Linked DNA regions of Saccharomyces cerevisiae S288C. The gene in region 1 interacts genetically with each later gene. Each region holds a gene or a part of one and is shown on either strand. Other genes may lie near its edges. The genes, in order: CUS2 and UGA3.

Region 1 (3,205 bases):
AGAGACAGAGCCACCATTGCACTAGAATTCATTGATTCGGCTAGGAATAAAGATGATGTTATAGCACAAAATCTAATCGAATCCAAATATTTTTACGATATTCCATCATTAGAGTCAAAATTAAGTTCTTACATTTCCTCAAATACTGATTCATTTGCAACTGCATTTGATGTGAATCAAGTTCGTAAGTTTACTGAGGATGAAATGAAGGCAATAAATCTGAAGAGAAAGCAAGAACAAATTTTCAATCAAAAGTCTGAAACCACTTTGGATACTACACCAGAGGCAGAGAGTGTTCCAGAAAAAAGAGCTGACGCTAATTCATTTGCTGGTCCAAACTTGGACGACCACCAAGAAGATCTACTAGCTACTAAGTACGCTGACGAATTGCTATCCATTGAACAAATTAAACCATTTGGTCAATTAGTAAATAGTTCTAGGGCTATCTCATTAACTGAGCCAGAAGCAGAATTCGTTGTACGTGGTGTCAAACATCTCTTCAAAGACAATGTTGTTTTACAATTTAATATTACGAATACTCTGACGGATATTGCCCTAGACAATGTTTCTGTAGTCTGTACCCCTGAAATTTCTGATGAAGCTGAATTAGAAGAGCTATTCACCCTACAAGTGGACAGATTATTACCATCCGAGGAAGCAGCTTGTTACGTTGCATTCAAAAAACTTGATGAAATTGTAATGGAAGGTTTCTTGAACAACTTAACATTCACTACAAAAGAAATAAACCCTGACACTAATGAGCCATTTGATGGTGATGAAGGTTTCCAAGATGAATATGAAATTGACTCGATTTTCTTGAATGCTGGTGATTATGTTAAGAGTTCTTTCACTGGTAACTTCTCCGCTACATTTGATGAGTTGCCATGCGAAGAAGTTGCTGTTTTCAACATTCAAGAAGATTTATCCATACAAGAAGTAGTAGATAAGATTATTTTGAACAGTAGCTGCTTACCGGTGGAAAGTACCCAATTTGCTCCAAGTGATTCAAACTCCCACACCTTGAAATTATTTGGTAAGAGTGCTTTAACTGGATCTAAAGTAGCCCTACAGATTAAGATGATCAAGAGTTCGAAAGGTCTTGCTTTGAAAGTTCATGGTAAAGGTGAAGACAGCTTATTATGCTCTGATCTGGTGAATGGTCTAATGCAGTAAGCTGTGAAATTTTATTTCAGTTAATCCCTTCTTTTGTTATCAATAGTATTAAAAGAAATGCGTCAGCTTTAGCAAGCGTGCATGCAAATAAGGGAATGAACAGCAAGAACAATAATAAACCAAAAAAATCACGGATAGAATATGACGGATCATCACCACACGAAGAATAAATTATGTAATCTTTGTATAAACAAAATTTTTAAAGAAAAATACTATAATAGTTTGACAAGAGAAAACGAAATGGAAGAAACAGGACAACAGGGCAGAAAAAAGTTGACATTATGCAATTGATGAAAGAAGAAGAAGAAAAAAAACAAAAAAAAAGCACTAGTCTGACCAGGCATATTGTAAAAGGCTGCAGACCCTTGAACGCACTACACTTTTCACTGTATTCCGTTACCAACATTACTGTTTGACAGCGATGGATGCTGATGAATTGGAATTGAAAGGTCATTTGAAAAAATTGAAAAAAGAAGAATTGCTTAGAAGGAAACAGTTAAAAGAGAGTAATCTTCAGAAAAGAGAGCTTGAATATAATAATGCCTCAAAAAATACTTCAATATATATTTCTGGTCTTCCCACAGACAAAACAACGAAAGAAGGACTCACTGAGCAGTTTTGCAAGTATGGAATGATAAGAACCAATCGAGATGGGGAACCCCTTTGCAAGCTATATGTGAATGATAAAGGCGCTTTCAAAGGGGATGCCTTGATCACTTATTCCAAGGAAGAAAGTGTTACATTAGCAATCGAAATGATGAACGAGTCGATCTTCCTGGGAAAACAGATCAGGGTCGAAAGAGCCCAATTTCAAAACAAGGAAGGTGACAATATGCACGGGAAAGAAAATGATTTAAAGGAGTTCAACGGACCTGAGCCTCCAATAAAGAGGCTAAAAAAAGCGAAGTCTGAAGGGGAGGGGGAAGTAATAGATTACAATGACGATGAAAGCCTAGCAAAAGCTGATCGAACGGTGATATTTGCCAACGTATTCAATATTTACAAATCATACACAAATGATGATATAAATGATATTCAGGAAGATCTTTTGGAAGGCTGTGAAGAGATAGGTCAAGTAGACAGTATATCTGTATCTCCCAATAAGGGGGAAGCGACGGTCGTCTTTAAGAACAATAAAGTTGCATTGCAATGTTGCAAAATCATGACCGGACGTTATTTTGATGGGCAAAAGTTGCTTGCTTTCATTTCTGGAGATGAGAACACTTCAAGCACAAGTGACAAGAATGAGGACAGCGAAGTGGAAGATGACCTTATATAGAACTGCAGTAAAAAAATGTATTACCCCCATATCTTTGGTACTTAAGTAAAATAAGTGAACACAATGTAATAAACAGAATGGATTAGGGCTTTATGACTTCCCAGTACAAAATAAATGTCGATATAATACTTGAAAATGCAAGCAATGCCATCAAAAAATTTGAGCGGTACGAGAATCGAACCCGTGTCCCCACCTTGGAAGGGTGGGATGATAACCACTACACTAACCGCCCATGTGTTGGATGGTGTAACTGTAATGACGAGGTAATAAGTGATGGCGACTATATCACCACCGAAACACAGCGATTACTTAAAAGGGTAATCACTACTGCGATTCTAATTGTTGGAATAAACCAAACCTCTTCCGATAATGTTGGAACGAGAGTAATTAATAGTGACATGTGTTGCTATGGTAACAATCTAATGCTTACATCGTATATTAATGTACACCTCGTATACGTTTAAGTGTGATTGCACCTATTGCAGAAGGAATGTTAAACGAGAAGCTCAGACAATACTGAAGCTGTGTTTGAGAAATGGGTGAATGTTGAGATAATTGTTGGGATTCCATTGTTGATAAAGGCTATAATATTAGGTATACAGAATATACTAGAAGTTCTCCTCGAGGATATAGGAATCCTCAAAATGGAATCTATATTTCTACATACTAATATTACGATTATTCCTCATTCCGTTTTATATGTTTCATTATCCTATTACATTATCAATCCTTGCACTTCAGCTTCCTCTAACC
Region 2 (4,342 bases), on another chromosome or scaffold:
TAATAACGACAAGGTCTTAAACCATTTCTATCCAATATAGCACCACAGTAACGTCCATCAGTGAAAGTTAACAAAGCTGGACCATCCCAAGGTTCCATCAGACATGCAGCCCAGTCGTACCATGCTTTTAGGTCAGAATCCATATCCTTATGATACGCTTCAGGAACCATCATCATAACAGCTTCAGGTAGAGATAATGTGCCATTAATAGTCAATAGTTCTAAAACGTTATCCAATGCAGCTGAATCAGAACCACCTTCTTCGATAATTGGGTATAGTTTGTCTAACTCATCTTTGAAAGTTGCTGAATTCATCACACCTTCTCTGGAGCGCATCCAATTCTTGTTACCTCTTAAGGTGTTAATTTCACCATTATGAGCTAGCCAACGTAAAGGTTGAGCTCTATCCCAAGAGGGGAAAGTATTAGTGGAAAATCTTGAATGGACCAACGCCATGTGGGATTTGAAATGCGCATTAGTCAAGTCGGGATAGTAGTTATACACTTGAGCTGGCGTCAATTGACCCTTGTAAACAATGGTGGTATTGTTTAGGGAACAAACATAGAACCAGTTTTCCAGTCCTATTTGAAGAGAGGCCTCCTTCCTTAAAAGATACAATTGAGTTCTAAATTTAGTTTCATTAAACTCCGGTTGTTTTTCATCATACAATGGAACCAATAATGGCTGTAGAATAGTAGGTTCACGAGATAATGCAACGTCTCCTAAAATAGTAGAATCTACGGGGACGTTTCTCCAACCTAATACGGATAAGTTGAAGGATGCAGCTAAATCCTCGAAAATCTTCTGACACTTAATTAAATTTTTCTTGTTATTTTTTTCGTTCTTCTTGAAGAAGACGTTACCTACGGCGTATTTGCCCATCTCAGGTATGTCTAGATCAAGATCTAACTTGAATTCTCTTTTCATAAATTCGTGAGGAATACCTAGCAGAATACCGGCACCGTCACCGTTCCCATCAGATGAGACGGCACCACGATGTGTCATATTCACTAAAAGATATCTAGCGTCAGTAACAATCTTGTGAGACTGTTCACCATGCTTATTTGCTACGAAACCGACACCACAAGCGTCATGTTCATAATCAGGGTCGTAAAGTCCTCGTTTGTCCGGAATCACATTTGCCCAAGATTTATGAAGATGGTGTTCATCGTTATAGTTTTGAATTGTCCCACCTTCGTAAGCTTCTTCCAATGGATCGAAATTGTCTGATTTCAACACTGGCATGCTTTCTTTTCTAATTCTTTTTCTAGTTCTTCAAAATAAATAAATGGCAAATAGATTAAGAAAAAAGAGAGAGTAGAAAGACAAAAATAAATAAAAAAAAACTGAAGCAGAAAAATAAATAAATAAGTTAAACGTTAATCACTACCTCAATGAGCTAAAAGAAGGGGAAGAAAGAGCAACTGAGAGTATCCGTCTGCGTAGTATAGGACTGAGATAGCAATTTCCTATCTTCCTATGATGTGGAGACGATTAGTTTGGTGTGTTATCAAGTAAGATATAAGAATTGATTAATTTGGTAAGAAATGAAACAATAGGACGAAAAATACAATAAGATAAGGAAGACCATCAGAACTTATGAATGACTAAGAAAAGCAGTTTATATTTTTTTTTTGGGCAATTTATTGCTTCTTTTTTTTACGTTTTGCGGGCATCACGTTCGTCGTGACATATGACTTGAAAAATGTGCAAAAGCTTATCGGAGCCAATCGGATTGACGCATTAAAACCGAAGTGTATTAGGACCAAATTTGCGCTGTATAGGGTTGAACGGTAGGGCTACCAGGGTCTGAGTCATCAAAGAAAAAGAAATTACAATAAGAGTCTTACTTAAGATGATATAGAATTGTTGTTATTGTTCATGTATGGATGCCAAGAAAACAAAGTTTTTTAAAGTGAGGTATGAATTATGGCGTGGAGAAGCTGAAATTGAAATATTCGAAGCATGGGTGTATTACTTGCAAGATCAGAAAGAAGAGATGCTCTGAAGATAAACCTGTGTGCCGGGACTGTCGTCGATTAAGTTTTCCCTGTATCTATATATCAGAATCTGTTGATAAGCAGTCTTTGAAAAAAATAAAGGCAGATATACAGCACCAGTTGATCAGCAAGAAAAGAAAGCATGCTCCTGACAGTGCTCAGAAAGCGGCCGTGGCCACCCGTACTCGACGGGTCGGTAGCGACGAACAGGATAACCAGGTATATTTGTCAAAACCGCTGGAAGATTGCATTTCTCAGAAGCTGGACTCTATGGGATTGCAGCTGTACAACTACTACAGGTCTCACCTTGCAAACATAATTTCCATCGCGCCCATGAACCAGAACTACTATCTGAACATTTTCTTGCCAATGGCCCACGAGAATGATGGTATATTGTTTGCTATTCTTGCTTGGTCAGCTAATCATTTGTCTATATCATCATCAAATGAGCTGCGAAAGGATGAAATATTTGTCAACTTGGCGAACAAGTATACATACATGTCGTTATCGCATCTAAAGACAAACGAGGGCTCAAGTGCCTGTGCTAAACTGGGGTTTCTATATTCACTAGCACAAATCCTAATCTTATGTGGTTCAGAGATATGTCAGGGTGATGTGAAATTTTGGAAGATATTATTGAATATAGGAAAAAATTTGATCGAAAACCATGTGGGCAAGGATGTCTCACGGATACTAACCACTACTACAGAAGAACCCTCCCTAGAGGAGAGGATAATCTTCCCCAATTTCAATTCCGTTGTTAAGTACTGGCTGATTGTGAATTTTATATATCATGATATTTTGAATTTCAATACAACGTCCTTCCCGATCGAACAATACGAGAAATTCTTCCAAAGGGATCAGAACTCTTTACCCAGCTCAGCCAACTTTATTGAGTCAATAGACTCGCCAATTGAGGAAATAGACCCTTTAATTGGCATCAACAAGCCTATTTTACTACTATTGGGACAAGTCACAAATTTGACGAGGTTTTTGCAGACTATGGAACAGGAAGAAATGCTAGAGCATGGCGATAAAATTTTGAGTTTGCAAGTCGAGATTTATAAATTACAACCTTCGCTTATGGCGCTGGAACATTTGGATGATGAAAAGAAATTTTACTATTTAGAACTATTCGAGATAATGAAAATTTCTACCTTAATGTTCTTTCAATTAACTTTATTAAAGATTGACAAAGATTCGCTGGAACTACAGATACTGAGAAACAAATTGGACTCGAAGCTAGACAAGGTCATCGGAACTTTTTTGGAAGGATCGTTATGCTTCCCACTTTTCATTTACGGTGTATGCATTCAGGTAGAAGATATGGAGAAAAAAATAGATTTGGAAGCCAAATTTGACGACATTTTAAAACGATATAAATGTTACAATTTCCAAAATGCTAGATTATTGATACGGAAAATTTGGCAAAACGAGGCTGATGGCATCAGTGAGCATGACCTGGTCCACATGATTGACGAATTAGATTACAATATTAATTTTGCCTGAGCAGCATATATTTTCTTTCCCCGCCCCCTGGGTGTCTTAAATTATTGTTTCACCACACAAACATATATATGTTCTTTTTTTTTTTTGTAGGACGTACGGATTCAAAAACAATTTATACCTATACAATGTAGAAATGCTAACGTTGAGACATAGAAGTAATTATTTAATTAACCATTTTAGGTGATTATTTTCAGGGGTGTCCGAGTCCACCTCTACAACATCCACCTGCCCGGTTTGATACCTGTAATCGCCTGTCTTGGAGTCCTCCACAAAGCTTATGCTTCTCTCAGATTTCCTGCGTGGCCTATCCATTATGGCTGCTCCTGCATACGACGTGCCAGTGCCGCCAATCATATCTATATCATGATTGCTTTCCCCGTCGCTTGTACTATCTTCATTCGAGTGGACGTCATGAGCCCATACAGATTTATACCGATTTGCTCTCGGAAATTCATGGCCATCTAGCACTTGTATTCTTTGGTAGTGATCACTATCATTATCCTCGTCACTCTCGTCCCTTTCACAAACGGGGCTTTCCCTTCTCTGCTTTGCAGTCCTTGTTAATTTAGTCTTAGACTTCATTTTAGCTCTTTTATTAGATTTTGTCTTTAATTTGCCCTTGATCTTCAAAATTAACTCATCAAAGTTGTCCTCGTGTGCATCATATACCACCTTATATGATTGTTGGTATTGTGTGGCGAATAAGTCCTGGTTCCAGGCAAAACCTTGACTTTGAGATACAGATATTTTAAAATTTGGCCTTATTTCTGCACTATATGTAAATACCGAACTGGTATTTGAGTATACAATAAGTTTCTCCTTATCCTCCATGAC

The links.
Region 2: mutations in CUS2 (region 1) and UGA3 together harm fitness more than expected from each alone (negative genetic interaction), as found in Saccharomyces cerevisiae (one large-scale study listed by BioGRID).

Annotation. Positions count from the first base shown.
Region 1 is NC_001146.8:93,629-96,833, forward strand, and holds CUS2 (U2 snRNP complex subunit CUS2), read left to right. Parts: upstream 1-1,594; coding exon 1,595-2,452; downstream 2,453-3,205. Other genes in the region: SEC21 (coatomer subunit gamma), read left to right, coding at 1-1,173. UniProt on the Saccharomyces cerevisiae protein: U2 snRNP protein which helps to refold U2 into a structure favorable for its binding to SF3b and SF3a prior to spliceosome assembly. Mediates functional interactions between U2 RNA and PRP5.
Region 2 is NC_001136.10:154,397-158,738, forward strand, and holds UGA3 (Uga3p), read left to right. Parts: upstream 1-1,921; coding exon 1,922-3,508; downstream 3,509-4,342. Other genes in the region: GLT1 (glutamate synthase (NADH)), read right to left, coding at 1-1,244; UGX2 (Ugx2p), read right to left, coding at 3,668-4,339. UniProt on the Saccharomyces cerevisiae protein: GABA-dependent positive regulation of genes required for catabolism of GABA (UGA4, UGA1, and UGA2).